Linked DNA regions of Cricetulus griseus. The protein of the gene in region 4 purifies or fractionates together with the protein of the main gene of each other region. This does not show direct contact. Links are inferred from orthologs where the notes say so. Each region holds a gene or a part of one and is shown on either strand. Other genes may lie near its edges. The genes, in order: Eif4g1, Yap1, Sirt6, Usp10 and Prkaa1.

What was found.
Region 1: the proteins of Usp10 (region 4) and Eif4g1 purify together in Homo sapiens (affinity purification with mass spectrometry; 4 studies listed by BioGRID, with this or other methods). This does not show direct contact. The link is inferred for Cricetulus griseus from reciprocal best matches to the Homo sapiens genes USP10 and EIF4G1.
Region 2: the proteins of Usp10 (region 4) and Yap1 purify together in Homo sapiens (affinity purification with western blotting; 4 studies listed by BioGRID). This does not show direct contact. The link is inferred for Cricetulus griseus from reciprocal best matches to the Homo sapiens genes USP10 and YAP1.
Region 3: the proteins of Usp10 (region 4) and Sirt6 purify together in Homo sapiens (affinity purification with western blotting; 4 studies listed by BioGRID, with this or other methods). This does not show direct contact. The link is inferred for Cricetulus griseus from reciprocal best matches to the Homo sapiens genes USP10 and SIRT6.
Region 5: the proteins of Usp10 (region 4) and Prkaa1 purify together in Homo sapiens (affinity purification with western blotting; 3 studies listed by BioGRID). This does not show direct contact. The link is inferred for Cricetulus griseus from reciprocal best matches to the Homo sapiens genes USP10 and PRKAA1.

The regions. Positions count from the first base shown.
Region 1 is NC_048597.1:67,962,961-67,966,475, forward strand, and holds part of Eif4g1 (eukaryotic translation initiation factor 4 gamma 1), read right to left. Parts: coding exon 3,514-3,515; intron 3,394-3,513; coding exon 3,221-3,393; intron 2,950-3,220; coding exon 2,824-2,949; intron 2,693-2,823; coding exon 2,611-2,692; intron 1,263-2,610; coding exon 1,164-1,262; intron 1,067-1,163; coding exon 932-1,066; intron 819-931; coding exon 737-818; intron 619-736; coding exon 478-618; intron 1-477.
Region 2 is NC_048597.1:122,385,875-122,390,163, forward strand, and holds the start of Yap1 (transcriptional coactivator YAP1), read right to left. Parts: upstream 2,801-4,289; 5' UTR 2,627-2,800; coding exon 2,345-2,626; intron 1-2,344. UniProt on the Homo sapiens protein: Transcriptional regulator with dual roles as a coactivator and corepressor. Critical downstream regulatory target in the Hippo signaling pathway, crucial for organ size control and tumor suppression by restricting proliferation and promoting apoptosis.
Region 3 is NC_048598.1:102,384,273-102,388,559, forward strand, and holds the start of Sirt6 (NAD-dependent protein deacetylase sirtuin-6), read right to left. Parts: upstream 2,812-4,287; 5' UTR 2,726-2,811; coding exon 2,660-2,725; intron 2,478-2,659; coding exon 2,350-2,477; intron 2,151-2,349; coding exon 1,908-2,150; intron 1,297-1,907; coding exon 1,237-1,296; intron 247-1,236; coding exon 151-246; intron 79-150; coding exon 1-78. UniProt on the Homo sapiens protein: NAD-dependent protein deacetylase, deacylase and mono-ADP-ribosyltransferase that plays an essential role in DNA damage repair, telomere maintenance, metabolic homeostasis, inflammation, tumorigenesis and aging.
Region 4 is NC_048596.1:196,599,150-196,601,828, forward strand, and holds the end of Usp10 (ubiquitin carboxyl-terminal hydrolase 10), read left to right. Parts: coding exon 1-105; intron 106-776; coding exon 777-842; intron 843-1,163; coding exon 1,164-1,351; 3' UTR 1,352-2,171; downstream 2,172-2,679. UniProt on the Homo sapiens protein: Hydrolase that can remove conjugated ubiquitin from target proteins such as p53/TP53, RPS2/us5, RPS3/us3, RPS10/eS10, BECN1, SNX3 and CFTR.
Region 5 is NC_048595.1:339,157,668-339,161,182, reverse strand, and holds part of Prkaa1 (5'-AMP-activated protein kinase catalytic subunit alpha-1), read right to left. Parts: intron 3,098-3,515; coding exon 2,853-3,097; 3' UTR 1-2,852. UniProt on the Homo sapiens protein: Catalytic subunit of AMP-activated protein kinase (AMPK), an energy sensor protein kinase that plays a key role in regulating cellular energy metabolism.

The DNA.
Region 1 (3,515 bases), on a different chromosome or scaffold from region 4:
AACCTTCCAACACTCCCTCAGCCCCTGACTACAGGCCAGCCCACAACTGTGGTCTGCTTCCTTACTACGGTTACCTAACTAACACTTGAACATACCCATGTGCTCAATTTGTAAACCTCAGTCTTACAGTGTGAAAAAAGGAGATAAACCCACAATGGCTATGAGATAAGGCAATGTAAGCCAAGCATTTTAGCCTTGTGCCAGACTCAGTGGGCACATCATGTCTGAAAGATATCATTTTTTGTTGCTGTCACCTACTGGCCAAGCACAAAGCCTGCAGGATGTCAACCCTCAAGGTTTAATTAACTCACTCTTTGTAGGCAAGGGAACGTGCATTGGGTAGGGTAAGGCATCAATCAAACCATCAGGGCATTTTGTTCTTTACCCACCTTTCTTGGGTTGTGTACTTTTCATGACCACCCTCTCTTCTATCTGGCAGTCCCTCTGTCCCACCCATCCCTGCAGCCTGGCTCTTACTGGCAGGCTGTTCTAAGGTCACTACAAGGGCCTGGAGGGCGTAGAGTGCTTGTAGCTCCTTCTGCTCATCACACAAGTATTTCTGTAGCAGTCTCGCTCGCACTTTCAACACTGCAACATCCACTCGGAGAGGAGTCTCAACTACAGGGAAAAAGACAAGGATAAATGAAATAATGTAGACTTCACCTGGCTTAGCCCAGAATGCCAAAACCCCTCTCTCTCCACACAGCCTTGCCCCACCATCTCCCAGGCTCCTTACAGATAATTGCAGAATAACAGACAGTTGTCATGAGGGCTCGAACTAATGTATTGGATGCTATCTGCTGCTCATTCAGGTTGGCCTGTGCAGAAAAACAAAGGCTTTTAAGTTCTAAATTATGCCTCTTAAGTACCCACTCCTGTCACCTCCCAAATCATGCCTCTACCCTTCTCCAACTACCCAGGAGAAACATACCTCTATCCAGTCAAACACCGGCTGGTTACTGCTGTCCTCCTTCAGCAGCTTCTCCAGCTGCTTTCGCAGCTCCTCAAAGGCAAGTGGCCTCTGGCCCGGAGCCTCACACTCTTCTCCCAAGGTATATTCCACCTTCTATAAGCAAATGAAGGACAGCCAAGGTCAGGACTAGTTAGTGTGAAAGATGAGATGAGCTAGCCCCCAAATTCTGAATAAAACTCCAGTCTCAAACCTGTTCAGCCACAAATGTGCTAACGTCTTGGCCTTCTGCTAGAAATTCCCTCCAGCTCAGCCCAGCCTCTCGCCACAGCATTCCCACCTTTTTGGGACCCTGAAAAACAAAAGAGCAATTCAGCATCTCAATATTTACCTCTACCTTTCTATGGCCTCTAGCTCTCAGGACTCAACAGTTCAGCAGTCATCTAAGTATACCACATAGATACCAAACAGGTACCACCCTTCCATGATGAAACCAAACATCCCAAGCAATAGGAACGCACCCACCACCACAGTGGTGTGACATTAGGAGACGGAAAAGCTTCTAGGAAAAAAACCAATTAGCATTTGTAGGAGTCAAGAAATCACTAAATCTCAAAAAGGTAAACAACCAAACCTACACATCTCACCCAGTATATTCCTACTGCATATGTAGTATATATATTTCAACTACATTTCTTTTCCAAAAGCAGCTTTGCTGAGTTTGTTTTGTTTGGGGCCCAGCACCCACATGATAGTTTCACAACTAATCATATGGCAAGTTCCAGGGATCTGACATACTCTTCTGAATTCTGCAGGCACATGCCACACACAGGATCATACACACACACACACACACACAAAAAAAATCGAAGTTAAATTTTTTAAATGTACCGTTTTCCTCTTAACCACTGAGCTTTTTTGTTATCCCAAGTAAATGAATGTTTACTTAAAAAAAAAAAGTAGCTGCCAAACTGTGGTGGCACACCAGGACAGCCATGGATACACAGAGAGACCTTGTCTCAAACAAGGAAGGAACAGATATGCCTATTGGTTTCCTAAGTTCAGACAAATCTCAGCAGCAGGAACACCCCACACCCTCACAAAAAAAAAAATCCCCTTGAGTCCCCTTAATCATCTCTCCAAGTTCCAGATACCCAAACTCTTCAAAGCACACGCCCTGACTTCTTACACCATGGTCACCACTCCCGACTCGCCTGTCGAGGCCCTGCATTCCTGTCACTTCACTGTCTTACATAAAGAGCTACTGTGCTCCTCAAAGGTCCTCTCCTGTAAAGGCTGTCAAATATTTCACAGCTCCACCGTTTCCCTATTTCACATTTCACTCAAGTTGTTGAGGCTGCCACCTCTTGCTTTTTCTGTACCAAGTCAGAGTCCACACCATTCAACTTTTGTAATCTGTGTGTGTGTGTGTGCACGCGCGCTCAGTATTCAGTGAACTGTGTGACCTGCTCAAAGAAACATTGATCAAATGAATAATAAAAGAATTAGCCACAGGTCTATGGTCTTTCTTTGCCAATCTTCCTTCTGCCCAGGCAGAATTTATGACAGAAACTACCTACTTAAACCTTCTTCTCAAGTAGCAAAGGCTATCAAAAGACCAAGAAGCTCCATGGTCTCCAGAGGCAGCCCAAATCACGTTAAGTTCCTGAATACATCACCCTCTAAAAGGCCAAACTCACCATGCTCTTGCATAGGAGACCCAGGATCTCCAGCAACAAAGAAGTAGCTTTGCCCATGGGTCTCAGAGGCTTCGTAATTTCCCTGTAAGAGAAATCATCAATCCTGATGACCCCATAGCCCTCAATATTACTCCATCGCTCTCCAAACACAGGTATTCAACTTATCTCACTCCATTATCTCTCTTGCATCCACAAAGGGAGGGGGGGTTTTACCTGAAGAGCTCTCCCATGGGCACCCCATCTTCCTGGAGAATGGGTGTTATCAGTTCTGCCAGGTAAAGCCATACATGAGGGATGTCAATTTCCATGTCCTCAGCTAATTCTAGTGTTTCATACAGCCTGAAAAGGAAAGGAGAAGTCAGGGCATTTGGGGAGATGGGCTAGATTACCCTGCCTTCCGGGGAAATAGAGCACAACTAAGAATCCAATGTGGAAACCTTACAAAGACATTTTTCAGACATGAGAATCTAAAGCTAAAGCTACCTTCACTCCTCACAAAGCTAACTGGAATGGTTGGCCTACACACTTAATGCAAAGTTCCAGGGATTCCACAAAAGAGAAGGAATTGGTGAGCATGTGGACACGGAAGGCCCACAGAAGTCTATCATACCCTTGGTAATACTGGGCAGTGGAGAGGTGCCCTGCGCAGAGCAGCTGGTGTAGCAGTCGCCCCATATGTTCACGAGCAATAGTGCTACGTTCCAGCGTGGACTCAATGCCATGCCGCACAAAGATGAAGAGCAAGGAGGGTGAAGCCAGCTCCTGGACACACTGTACTGCCTCCTGAGGAGGGCGAAGCATACAAGAGAGAAAACCATCATTGCCTGGTCCATAACCTATACAAACCACACCAGTCGGCATGGCTCCCCCTCCCCACCCTTCCTAGCAATCACTAGTCCCAACCT
Region 2 (4,289 bases), on a different chromosome or scaffold from region 4:
GCATATATTTAAATATCAAAAGCAAACTTTAATGTTCAATTTTGACACTAAGGAACACAGGTGTCCAAATGGACCACTTTTAAATTACGAAAATTTAATATGCACTATAAATGTTATTTTACTGAGTCCATCTGAATGAAAGTCTACCTCCCAGACACTGTGAAAACAGTAAATACTTGTCATTAAAACCCGTTTTCAAAAAAATTAGGGCAAGAGCTGTTATTTGGTGGCAGAGAACATGTTTGTTCTATACACACCAAAATAAATAAATCAGTTCATTTCACAGCAGTATGGTTGCTTTTCAAAGTCCTAGAACAAAACCCAGGGAATTACTATGCACTTTTCCCATACTTTGTTTTAAATAACTAATGCCCTCATCTGTCACTTTTTGACTGTAAATTAATAAATCAACCATATAAATTATAGACTCTTAATGAATTCAAAGGCTCAGAACTGTACCAATGCTAAAAACTACCTAATGAAGAGAACAAGGTAGCCCTCTTTGTGCCTACAATTATAACTTAAGGATCTATACACATTAACAGCAAGGGAAGGAAAAAGAAAAACCTGCAGAGACCCCAAACATTCGAATTTGGGTTTAACCAGATTAGTGTTAGACAAAGTATCAGAAGTGAACTTGTCTTCATTTCTGTAAATCAGTTTTTCCATGCCAGAAGCATGTAGGGGTATAGGAATTCTCAGGCAGGAACCTTAGACAACTATTTACAACTGAGACCCATACTATTCATAATCTAATCCTTTTATTATAATTAGGGTTTATCAAAAACGTTTAGTTTCCTAGATTCATGAGCATAAGGAAACTGAAAGGACCCAGCAGTCACTTAAAGCTCCACAGCAAAGACAGGGGCATTTCTGAGTTTCTGATCAGATTAAATTTAGGGCTAGGAAATCATTAGCACACAGAAAAGGTAAATTTCTTGATACACAGCTAGCTCTCTTAAAATGCTCATCAGAAGGCAAATCTACCCCACAAACGGCCGGGTGGAAGTCGGATATTACAAGTATACTTCTCCGTGGTCGTTCCTACAAAATGGAGCATTCAATCTGAGCGTTCCTTCAAAGTTTCCGCGGCCGTTCAAGATTGCACGCCAACATGCATTTAGCTCAGCGAGTCCAGAAACCCACTAGTGGGGGAGGGGATAATGAATAGTACCTAAGTCTACTGTTGTAACAAATTAAGTGTTTAGGCTAGAGGCTAAATAACCTTTCCTTCCTCCTTAACTCGGCTTTTTGTAGCGAGGTTAATCGAGCTTTTCGGAGCTCCAAAACCCTGTTCTGCTGCAGGCCTGCCTAGGAGGGGGGTTGGAGTGGGGGCGGCAACTCTCTTTCCACTCAAGTTACAGCCCGAGTGGGCTAACGATGGCAGTGTTTGGAAAACCAATTAAGTTTTGGGCAAAGTTCCTACGCTGGTTTAGCCTAAAGCAAGGTCTTTAAAAATTAAGTAATTAAATGGAGAAGGGGGTGGGGGGGGCGACACTAAAGAAATCTACCAGGACCTATCGGAATGTTAATACTTTGAAACGTTTTCACTTCTGTGTAGGATCCAGTTGGGAAAACAACCAGGCGTCGTGGATGTGGTTATAAGCAGCCATGTTCACATCCGCAGTCAGTTAAAAAGCAATGGCGAGCCTGGAATTAGTCATTGCTTCCCAAACATTACCTTTAATCACAGTTGAGCCAGGCAGGACTCTGCCTATGAGTCAACCTGCAACGCTCTATCAAAGGCCGGCGGAGAGCCTCTGCGCCCAGAGCGCAGCCGAGTTCCTGCGCAATGCCCAGATGTGGCCAATTTAAAAGCTCTCGGGCCGAACGCTAAATAATAGGTTACGATCGGGCAAGCGACACGTGAGCCCACCGAGTGTGAAAAGATCCCTCCCGCCGGAGTTCCAGGGCACGGCGGGGGCGAGCGGGGGCCGGGGAGCTCGAAGCCTGCACTCGGTCGGTCGGTCGGTCGTACGGCGCCTGGGCCGAGAGCAGAGGCTTCGGCGAGCGGGAGGGGGAGGGGACCGAGAGAAGGAACCAGAAACTCAATGGACCGGTTCAACCCCCACCCCTCACCAACTCGGGAAAACAAGGGGACGGTAAACGCGGCGCCACGGGACAGGGGAGGCCGGGTGTCCCCGGACTGGGGTCCCGCACCAGATGCCGCCCCCCTTCTTCCCCCGTCCCCTCCCCTCCTGTCCCGTCCCCTCCCCCTCCCCGCCGAAGCGAAGGTGCGGAACGGAGGCGCGCGCATTGTGCAGCCCCCCGCGGCCGCCGACTCCGGGAAATCCAACCCCAGTCCCGCACCCCGCGCGTCCCCGGGCCCCCGCGGCGCCGCTACCTGTCGCGAGTGGGACTTGGGCTCGGGCGGCTTGAAGAAGGAGTCGGGCAGCTTGCGCAGCCGCATGGGCACGGTCTGCGGCACGTTGGCCGTCTTGGGGTTCATGACGGCGTTGAAGAGCGCCTCCAGGTCGGTCTCCGAGTCTCCGCGGACGTGCACGACTTGGTGGCCGGCCGGGGGCGCGGGCGGGGCCGCGGGGGTCCCTGACGGCGGCGCGGGCGCGGACGGCGGCACGGGGCCTTGCGGGGCCGGCTGGGGCGGCGGCTGCTGCGCGGGCTCCATGGCTGCGGCCTCGCTCGACGCTCGCCCGGGGAGCTGCGCTCAGGCTCGGGGGGCTGCGCCGCGCGCCCGCATCGCCCTGCACCCTGTGCCCGAGGCCGCCGAACCCTCCCTGCCCTCCCCGGGCTCCTTCGTCCTCCCTTTCTTCGCCCCGACCGCGGCGGCGTCCCGACTGAGACAGAAACTTCGGCTCCAGACGCCCAAACTAAAAAGTTGCGCGGAGCGCCCGCCCGCGCGCCTCGCGGGCTCCGCCTCCTCGTCGCTCTTCCTTCCTCTGCGCGCCCGCCCGCACCGAATCCGCGGCCCGCGGCCCCCGGGGAAACTTTCCCTGCGCGTCGCTACATTCCTGCAGACTCCCGACCGCACGTGACCCGGAGGCTGCGGCGCTGCGTGCGCACCGGCCGGCCTGGAGCTGCGCGTCCGCGGCCACGGCCAGGCCGCGACGAGGGACAGCCGCGTGGGCAGGCTGCTTGGAGAGCCGTCCTATTCACCCGCACTGATTTTAGTCGAGTCTGCGTTTAAACATCCGTCCCAGTTTTGCCATTTACCAGCGAGTTTGCCGAAAAACCAAACCAAACAAAACGACTGGGAGTGCAAATGATTACAAACTGAAGCTTGGAGACAAAGGGAAACATGATTTAAGTTTTGTTTGAAACAGGCCGACTGTAGCCAAGGATATCCTCCAACTGCTGACAAACTTTGTGCTTCAGCTTCCTGACTGCTAGGAGTCCAAGCAAGGGCCTCTGCTTCCCCGGTTTTTAGAATTGGTTTAGCTTTGTCGTTTTTTTTTTTTTCTTTCCTTCTTTTAAATTAAATATTTTATTACATACATATGTAGGAGTGAGTTCCACGTACCGTGGAGCACAAGTGGAGGTCAGACGTAATCTGTAGGGTCTGTTTTCTTCCTTGTTGTGGGTCTCTGAAATCGAAGTCAGGTACCCTGAGACATCTCACCTGCCCTGTTTTCGTTCTCAATGTAGCACAGGCTGACCTCCAACTCTCTATGTAGCTAAGGCTGGCTTTAAATTCTTGTTCCTCCGCCTCAGGCTCTACAGGGCTGGGTTACAAATGTGGACCGCCTTGCCCAGGAAACCATTATTACTTCTTTTTTTTTTTTTTTTTTTTTTTTTTTTTTTTTTTTTAATCAGAAAGCAAGTCAAATTTTTGTTTTGGTTTGGTTTTTTTGAGACAAGGTTTCTCTGTTGTTATCTCTGGCTGTCCTGGAACTTTCTCGGTAGACCAGGCTGGCCTCTGCCTCCAGAGTGCTGGGATTAAAGGCATGCTCCGCCATGCCCAGAGTCAAATCATATTTTTTTAGCACCAAAACTCTGTCATTTAGTCACTCAGAACTTCAACTCAAAACACAAACTTGAGGGAGCACGTTCCCTTTTGCTCACAAGGGTTACACTGAGAGAGACTTAAAGAGAATAAGCAAGGGAGGTCAGCTTTGCCCCCAATTTTCTGTGTGTCAGTCCACCAGGAGCCTATCTGGAATCACTCAAAAACAATGAAAATTGGTTTGTGTTGGGTGATTTGTCTGTGTATATGTCTTTGTATCACATGATTGCCTGGGTCCCACAGAGGCCACAAGGAGTTGTTTAGATTCCATGGAACTGGATGTGAGCTGCCAGGTCGGTACTGGGATGCAAACCTGGGTCCTCTGGAA
Region 3 (4,287 bases), on a different chromosome or scaffold from region 4:
CTGGCCTCATCAGCGAGCATCAGGTCCCGTTCAGGCAGTGCGTCCTCCCAGTCCAGAATGGTGTCCCTCAGCTCCCCCCTGCAGCAGGTCAGGGAAGGGAGTTAGGGCCCTCACTTCCTGACAGGGGCAGGTGTGAGGAAGGTTACTCACCTACAGGCCCTTAGGCCCCTGGCCTTGGCCACTGTGCAGAGCCGGCCCGTGGCCTTGAGGCCCATGGTACCCACGACTGTCTCTCTCACGTATTGCCTGTACAGGGGGGAAGGAGGGGGATGTGACTTGTCTAGCGCTCTTTCAGGGGTCTGGGGGTGGTGTAACCAGTGTATGGGGTACAGGCTCAATCCCTGGGCTACACTGCAAGACCAACAGCCTAGGGATACAAAGACAGGTGCCTCAGTCTGGGAAGGGCTTGACATGCAGACATGAGGCCCTGAGTTCAAAAGGCGGCACAATGGAGCAGATTTACCACCCCAGCGCTGGAGACCCCAGGAGGTTCCTGGCCACTCAGCAAAACCAGCAATTGACAGGTTCTGAGAGACTGTGCTTCAGAACACAAGGAGAGGGGTTGAGTTAAGACACCTGATGCTGGGGCTGGAGAGCACTAACCGCTTTTCCAGAGGACCCAGGCTCAATTTCCAGCAACCACCTGGTGGCTCACAACCACCTGTAATGAGATCTGGTGCCCTCTTCTGACATAAAGGCGTACAAGCAGGCAGAACACTCATACATTAAGTAAATGGGTAAATCCTTAAACCCCCCCCCTCCAAATGACAACAGCAAAAAACCAAACCAACAACAATACAAGACCATCCACCAGTGTGTGTGTGGGGTGGCCAAACATGATGGCTCATTGGCTGTGATCTCAGCACCAGGAAGCAGAGGCAACTTAAAGAGGGGGTCAGGGGCTGAAGCTCAGGGGCACAGCTCTTGCCTAACACCCTCGAGGATCTGGTGTAAAGCAATGTTGTCTGCTGGCTGGGAGCCACAGCAGGGGGGTGGGGCAGGGAGAACCCCTCACTTCCAAGGATGTGGCTTGTGTCGCCCTGTTTTGTAGCTTCTTGCTTGGGGGACCTCCTCATAGCTTGTCTGTTTTTAACTGACTGTCACTGGAATCAGAGGCACCTCCCAGCTTTCCCTGGGGCCATTTCAGGACCTGTTAGCTGGTTCAGCGGAGGAACCTGGGAGAGCCCCACCCTGGGAGAGCCCCTCCCCTGCCGGTCTTCACTTGCGGACACTCACGTCTTACACTTGGGACATTCCTCTACAAACATGTTTCCATGGAGCTCAGCCAGCTTGTCCCTGCGGAAGAGAATGAGAGTCAGGTCCCTTCCTCCCTGAACCCTGAGGCTTGGACCAGTTGCTCAGCCTGCCTCTTCCTCCAGAAAGCCTTCCTAGGCTGCTCACCCACAAGGTCTAGGCTGAGGAATTGTTACAGGTGGCGATGACCCTATCTCTGCAAACACAAATAGCTGCTCCCCACTACAAAAATCTGTTGGCCAGATGGACCGTGGTGTCGCACGCCTTTAATCCCAGCACTCGGGAGGCAGAGGCAGGCGGATCTCTGTGAGTTCGAGGCCAGCCTGGTCTACAGAGCTAGTTCCAGGATAGGTTCCAATGCTACACAGAGAAACCCTGTCTCGAAAATCTTAAAAAACAAAAAAACAGAAAACAATCTGTTGGCCTTAGAGCACTTGCCTAGACGCCCCCAGTGAGGGGCTGGGGGCGTGGCTCAGGGTGGAGCCCCACCTAGAAACCCCCCCATTGACCAAGTGCTGGCCTACTTTAGGCTCCAAGCTCTTCCCCCCTTTCCATCTCCAATAAAATGTCCCTGACCCCGGGCAGGCAGCCTGGTTCCCGGATAAGGAAGGGGTGCAGCTGAGCCCCACGCCCCTGGTCCAGTCCCATCTGACCTGGGGAAGCCCGAGCGTACGTGCAGCCCGTCCACATTCTGGCTGACGAGGAAGCTGAGGAAGCCCGAGCGCTCCAGCTGCACCAGGGCCATGTGGGTCTTGGAGGGCCGGGCGTTCTCGAAGGTGGTGTCAAACTTGGGGGCCAGGCCACGCTCTTCCATGGTCCACACGCCGTGGGGGCCTCTGAGGACAGCGAGCAGAGGACAGAAGTTCCTTTTCGAGTGCAGGCCTCGTCCTGGGAGCCTGAAGTCAGTGTGTGCTGCGGGCTGGGTCCCTGTCGGGGAGAGCCAGCCGGCCAGCCGGGGACCCCGCAGCCGGGGACCCCGCAGACGCGTCCCAGCATCCCCTGCAGCCACACATCGCCGGGATCTGTGGCGGCTGCCCCACCTCACGGCCGTCCCCGCCAGCGCCCTGCCTCAGTTTCCCGTGCTCGTTCACAGACCTGAAGTCGGGGATGCCGGAGGCGGTGCTGATGCCGGCGCCCGTGTGGAAAACCACGCTGGAGGCCTGCAGCATCAGCCGGGCCAGCTCCCCCACCTTCCGCTCCAGCTCCTCCGGGGGGTCGAAGATCTGTGGGGACGGGGGCACAGCTGGGCTCAGGGACGGACCCCACCGCACCGCACCCACCCCGCCCGCGGGGTCCTCCTTCCAGGAAAGTCCTTCCCGCTGTCTACACTCCGTGTTTCGTGCTGTCCCCACAATGCCCCACTCGTCCGGGCCCCCGTCTGGCGACCGGGACACCGTGGCCTCACCTCCGGCAGCCCGCACTTGCCCTTATCCGCATACGGCGACAGCCCGGCTGCGTAATTCACCGACATCGTCGCCAACAGCGCAGACGGGAACAATAAAGTTTCCCTTGTTGAGGCCGCTTCCGCCGGAAATGGGGAAGGGACCGCCGGGGTGGGAGCGTTAGAGGCGGAGGAGGTGTTTCCCCCCGGAGCGCGCGCGCCGCACTGACGCCGCGGGCGCCATCTTTAGTGCTGGCAGAGACTTGCGGGCTGCCTCGCGAGCCTTCCCTTCTCGTCCCCGGCGCGCTCGCAGGAACCGAGTCCCAGCCCAGCCTGGCTGTGCAATGAGACCCTGTTTCAGAAAAGCGACAAAACCAGCAACAAAAACCATTAAAAACAACCCCCGGAACTCTCACTCCGTGGGTAGAGCTCACCCCTCGTGCATACAGCCGCGGCGGGAGTTCGAAGCCCGTCTAGAGGTCGTGAGACCCTGGGCGGCCTTTGGGTCTCTGCTGTGCGGCTGTCAGCCCGTGTCTGCCCCTTTCTGAGCCACAGGATAGAATGAATGGGAACTTGGGGTTCACAGGCACCCCCTCCCCCGGGCGCCCTGCCAGCATGTTCTCAGCTTTGTTTCTGGGGATAGCACAGAGCATCACGGTCAGGTCCCCACGTTACACAGAGGGGCCCGGAGACGCAGAGAGAGATGGGGAAGGGGATACTGGGTCAGAAGCACCTCCTGTGATCCCCTCCTGTGGCAGTCCATCCTGACCCCTGTGCCTGCTGGTGGTCAGACGGGACCAGGCCACGGCGATGGGGGCAGCAGTCCTTGGGGCTGCCCACATGAGCAGGCTGGCCAACAGCAGTCCTCCCTCTCTGGGCTCATCCCGTCCCCCTGGGCGGATGCCCCCCCTTCCTGATCAGGTGTCACCCCGACTCTGCTGCTGGCAGCTCGCACTTGGAGCGGGTAACCAGAGAGGCTGTGGTGCACGCAGTGCTCTGGCCTAGAGACGCCTCAGGTAGGGGGATGAGACTGTGAGAGGCCAGGGAAGACGCTGCTCTGGGTCCCAAGGAAGGGGATACTGTGTCAGGGGGTTGGGGAGGGGGCTGCTTGCGACACCCGAACACATACATGCACCTGCACACTCGTGACAGGTACACGGGACCCACCCGACATGCGCGGACCTCGCTCAATGTGCGGCCTCCTCCCTGAACCATTGTGGGAACCCACAGGTCAGCGGACCTGTGCTGCCCCACCTCTTCCAGGAGGGAGACCCCTAAATTCACAGGCCTTACCCACACGATTCCATCCTGACTGCCAACCTGAGTTTCCTGTTACCCTTGGGTGTGATTGAACTTTATAATTGGGGGTGAGAATGAGCTGTACACTGAGCTGTAGAGGAGAAAGGAAGGATGGACAGGTGGGTGGATGAATGGATGGATGGATGGATGAGTGGATGGATGGATGGATGGATGGATGGGGTGGATGGGTGGGTGGTGGGTGGGGGGGGTGGATGGATGGATGGATGGGTGGGATGGGTGGATGGATGGGTGGGTGGTGGGTGGGTCTTCCCTGAATAGATTGCTTTTGCTCATTGAGAGTAGTCAGAAACGTGACTGGCCTTCCTACAAGGGGCTGATTGTCAGGTGTCTCC
Region 4 (2,679 bases):
CTGTCCTCGTGTTGCACCTGAAGCGCTTTGTCTATGAGAAGACGGGTGGGTGTCAGAAGCTAGTCAAGAACATTGATTATCCTGTGGACTTGGAGATCAGCAGAGGTAATGCCAAGCCCTGTGCTTGCTGCAGTGACCCTGAAGGTCCACTCAGTGTGACACCAAGTCAGGACTCTTTGCTTTAAGTTTATTTGCATTTGTGGAACTTATACAAACATTTTCATTAGTGGTTTTCTTATTTTTTAATTTGATTTATATTTTGCCTACATGTATCATTATGCACCACGAGCATGCCTGGTACAGGTGGAGGCCAGAAGAGGGTATTGGATCCCCTGGGGTTGGAGTTACAGATAGCTATCAGCTGCCATGTGGGTGCTGGGAATCAAACCCAGGCACAAACTTCATAGTTGTGCCAAAGCCTGACTAGGAATATTGCAAGCCCAGGCAGTCTACAGAATGCATGGGTCTGGGGAGCAGGACAGTGGAGTCTTCCTCCTAATCTTGGAGAGAAGTCCTCTCAAGTAGAGAGTACTCTGTCCCCAGGACTGCATATCTGGATTCCTGTTTCCTGGTCCACGAACTGGGTGTGCAGTTACCCCTGCCCCTTGGCTGTCAATGGCACCTTCAGGTACAGTCCTGACACAGCTCTGGGCCAGGACCTGTCCATCCCTGCTCTGATCCTTGAAGTGGGGTGGGTGTTGTTAGGTAGAGCTGTCACCAGTCAGTGCTGCTGTTCTGTGGAGATTTTGTTGAACTGTTGCTGTTTTGTTTTTCAGAACTTCTTTCTCCAGGAGTCAAAAATAAGAATTTTAAATGCCACAGAACCTATAGGCTGTTTGCAGGTGAGTATGCTTGCCCACTGCTAACTCATAAACACAGCAAGCAGAGAGCCTGTATGGTCCCTAGGCAACATTCTGCTGGAGTGCACTATCATAGAGACAGGAGCCTGGGAGAGCTTGGGTGTCTAGAAAGCAGTGGGGTCTGACATGAGGGAGGGCTCTCAAAATGTATGAGTGTCTCCCTGAGTCAGTGGCCTGTGGGCTCCAGTGGAGCCCTCCCTCCCTCCCCCCCCCCCTTTTTTTTTGGAGGGATTAGGTTGTGATCTGTGTCAGTCGGGGTGAGGGACTTTTCTCACGGGTTGCCTGCCTTGTGTTGTCTTCCAGTGGTGTACCATCATGGCAACAGTGCCACGGGCGGCCACTATACTACGGATGTCTTCCAGATTGGGCTTAATGGCTGGCTGCGAATTGATGACCAAACGGTCAAAGTTATTAACCAGTACCAGGTGGTGAAGCCAACTGCTGACCGCACAGCCTACCTCCTGTATTACCGCCGTGTGGACCTGCTGTAGCCGTGTCCGTGTGCCTGTGTGTGTGCCTGACGCTGCTTCCTACAATTCCCAACTTACTAACTTCCCACCACTCTAGTGGCTCTTTAGAGAGAAACTCTTCCTCTGTGACAGTGGGCTTGAATGAAAGGAGATGTCTTGGGGGGGGGGGGGTCTGCACAGCGCAGCTCATGCTGACTCTAAACTTTCAGAGACAGTCGCTTGGTTGAGGAAATACACAAGACACAGCGCTTCTGAAGAACTGCTGGCTCCTTAATGGAGGAGGTGGCTTGTACTGTGTCCCAGTCTGATTGCATAGTGGAATAAGTCCCGCACCAGCAGCTCTTGTAAATTTGTGAAAATGAATTTTATCTATCCTTAAAAAATAATTTTTTTAATTCATCACACTTTCCTCCCTTACCCTTTAGTTTTTGATAAACGATAAAAATGAGCCAGTTATCAGAGATGAGAGAGTTCTTACTTCAAAAGGATATAAATACACAAAACATGTCGCTGGTTCCTAGACGGAAACACATTTTAACAATTGTGAGATAATAACTGCTGACGTATACACTGCAGGTCAGACATTTGGGGTGCAGACGTCAGGCTATAGAGGTGGGTGATTGTAACTTTATTACCATGGAAAGATTTCAAATCGCATTCATGCTCTGTGTACACATCAAGAAAAGTGGGCAAAATAATGAAGATTGACATTTCCCAATGTCTGCTGTGTAAACTCCTGTCCGCGCCCTTCTGATGCCGTGTCCCTAATTGTACACAGTGTAGTGATTCCTAGGAGTATAAAGTTGTCACCCGTCAATAAAGATCACAAAGTTGGTTTAAAGCTGTGTGTGTTTCTTGATTTGGAGACACTTGATTTTTTTGAGACAGGGTTCCTCTGTGTGGCTCTGGCTGTCCTGGCTGTCTCTATTGGCCTTGACTTCACAGAGCCTGCCTCTACTCCCATGGTGCTGGGATTAAAGTCACTGCCTGGTGATTGAGACACCTTTTCCAGAAGAGCCCTCAATCCTACAAGCCTATGATTCAGCCTCTGAATTCAGCTGCCACACTGGCTGTGGTGGGCTAATGCAGCTGCTGATTAGCTTGAGAGGACCTGACTTTTCACTTTTGCTCCCTCTGATCCTGTGGGTCATGTCAAGGCCAAGTTTTTCTTTTGAATGTTTCTGATGCTACCCTCAGCTCCTGGTGGAAATGGAGAAGAGGTTGCTAGCAATGGGAAGTCCGCTGAATTTTTGGTCCTGTGGGCTGGACTCTACAGGGCAGGGCTTGCAGTGGGGTGGAACCTTTTTTTCTCAAGCTCCTTTTGTGAAATGGCAGTGTTTCCATCATTA
Region 5 (3,515 bases), on a different chromosome or scaffold from region 4:
TAAGGAGAAGAAAGAAAGATTTAGACATGTTTTTCTTTCATTCCCAAGATGCCACTTGGAACACAGATCTTACACACCCAACCACATTAGCTCATCTGTGAATGGCATCAAAAGTCCAAAGGACGGTGCAAGGAAGGGAGAGAATTTATATAAAATTATCTAAAACTCCAAAACACTACAAAAGCATCTTAAGAAAAAATATAATCAAAGTAAAAGCAATGGTGTTTATTTCAATGAAATTATTTTAAATTAGATATATTAAGCTCCCACGTGTCCCAACTTGGTAGAAAAGTTCCTTTCATGAGAAATCAATTTTAATGGCAAAATTTTTACATATCAGCAAAATCTGTTATTTTAAAACTATGTATACAGTACTTTTCTGGCAAAAACTTATACAGCTTTCAGTTATCAAGACAAAGTAAAAATATGGTTGCATAAAATCACAAAAAAATATAAACTGCTGAAAAGATAATAAAAAAAGATTAAAAATCATTTGCATTGACTCCCCTTACATTTTCAATATAAGAATTTGCAAACTACATTCACAATACATTTGTGAAAATTCTGTTGCAAGCTTGACATACTTAACTGAAAGTTATCATTTCAGATATCCTAGCTTGAAAAAATTGACTGCAATAGTCTGCATTTATCATACTATTTATACAAGTGCAATATTTAAATATCTTCAAAATAAAACTCGGTAACTAAAAGGAATCACAGAATAACTTATAAAAGAAGCAAAGTTTACAAAATTAACAATTTTTAGAAGGTCCTATTTAATTGGTTCCTCCTTTTGTGCCCCTTCCCCTTCCACACAGTTTATAGAGATATTACTTAGTTCTATTTACAAAGCTGGAACTTTAAAAAAAACACACTCTTCCTTTCTTCACATCAGGAACACAATGCTGCATTTGGACATCATAAGTAATATCAGTAAACCCCAAACAGAGGACACACACACACACACACACACACACACACACACACACACACACACACACTCGCCCACACAAACACACTCGGTATAAATACAGTTCGGAACTCATTTAAATGGAGGATCCATTACTTTATACAGCATCCAAATTGGAGTTGAATAAAACAAGCCCTGAACAAAAGAATCATAATCTTTGTTTGGAATTCAGTGCATAAACCAAGCTATCATGACCTCCAAATTCATTCCCTTCTGGTTACGTAAGTGCTCAACACATTGGGGGGTGAGGGGGATTAAAATAAATATAGTGAAAAAAATATCTCTCCTGCAAAGGGAAAATGATTAATGTTTAAAGAAAATGTATTTTTGCATTGCTGGGATCAAACCCAGGATGCTGGGTGCATCCTAGACAAACACCACCACTGAGCTAGAGCCTCATACCCAATTTCTTAAACTTCAATAGAAGCCAAATGTGGACAATAAGACATTATTTGCTCATAAAACACCAAGCTTCATCTTCCCTGACTTTAAATCTTCATTTACAACTCAAATGCTGTGCTGTCACTGAAAGAGGAGAGGCATAGAAATCAGAGATCTAAGAAAGATATTACTTCTATAGCCACTAATTTTTTAAAAGTAAAACCTGAAATAAACTTGACCATTTTAAGAACTGATCCCTTCTCCACCTTTTCAGAATATTATTTACCTGATTAAAGAGATAGAGCTGAAATGAGACTGTAAATATAAACGGGATTCTGGACAGTTAAGAGATAAATATGGAAGGCCATTCACTGTCTGGAAATTACTCGTTTTATAATGCATTCAAGAGTTTCTTAAAGGACAATATTATTTTTAGGAGATGCTTAAGTATTTAGGACTGAGTATGTGTTTCTTAACATCTCAGTGGTTCAGAACAAAAGCATACATACATTCAAACATATATGCATATCTGTTTTTGTACATATGTGCATCTAGAGAGCAAATGCAGCCAAATAGGAGTTGTTGGAACTAAGTAGTAGACATACATGCGATCACTGTATTTTTTTTTTAAATGTCCAGAATAAAATCAGGGGTCAAAAATCCAATCCACGTATTCAAAGCTTATAAAAAATGTCCTTTCTATGCACTGAATCAATATTAAAAATATACAATCAAATGACATTCAACAGTGGCTGGCATGACAGCCAGAAGAATCCATGACAGTGAAAAAACATGATTCAGTACAGTATGAGCAACTCCACTCTTGGATCCAAAGCAGCACTTCATATACAAATCAAAGGGGGAAATTGTAGAAGTAAACTTAGGGCTCAGGGTTTCTGAATACATAAATTCTATGGATTTGGGGGCTTACAAGCTAAAGAAAAGATTTAAATTGAGTCTGTATCTGGTATGACTTACCACACAAAACAGCATTTTAATGTTGTGGAAATCGTTCACAATGTTACCAGAAATGGAAATAGTAGCTATTTAAGAAGCTAAGGAGCCCAGAAAACAGCATCACTTAAGAAGGTCTATGGGGAATTCTAGGCAAATAATTAATTCATGAAGCAAATATAAAACACATCAACATATGTGAAGGCTTTTATGGTAAATTTATGGCCTACAAAGCCCTGTTACACCAAATTAAAATGGTCAAAAATCAAGTGAGACCTACAATCCATTCTGTATATATTTTGCTGTATATATCTATTGAATAAGGGACAACAGAATGGTCCCAATTCATTTCCGCACATTAGGCTTTTATCATTTTCCAATCCCTGTGCAAACTGCATTCCAAAGGCCAATCCTTAGATATATGCATATATATATGTATATATATATACACACATATATATATATGTAAAACTTGATAAGTGGAAGTGTTTGGCTATAATTTATTATGCATGCTTATTGCATCAAAGAAATAAGCAAAGTTTTAGGTTTACTGTGCAAGAATTTTAATTAGATTTGCACACATTTCAAAAAATTCTATTGTGTGACTTCCTGGTCTTGGAGCTAAGTCAACCGGAGAAGAGTCGAGTGAGGTCACAGATGAGGTAAGAGAAACTTCTGACGGCTTTCCTTGAGCCTCAGCATCAGAGTCACTCCTTTGGCAAGACCGATAGTTGCTGATGGATCCCGATCTCTGTGGAGTAGCCGTCCCTGATTTGGCTTCTGTTATTTCATCTGGGTGAAAAGAATTCCCACATGTTACTATTTGTCCCTTGAGAGGTCCAACAGTATGGATCAGATTCTTTAAGTGAGACTACTGACTAGCTCCCCAGAGCATGTGTAATTTAAATACATTCTCAAATGGGGGTACTGTGCCTGGATTAAGCCACTCACTCACAGTTTCTCCACACAGCATGGAGAATGCCTATGATGGATGACCAGTTCACACAGGGTACACAATCTATCACTCTTGACTTTTACACTAAGAGCCAGGAAACTAATAACCTGAGTTTTAATTTAAAAAAAAAAAAAATCCCCTACCACTAAAAGTCTTTTCTATTAAAAGCACAGAATCAATCTCTTGAAATATGGATGATATCTTGGAAATCATCTCAGCCAAGAACCATTTTACTAATATAAAACAAAGCCAGAG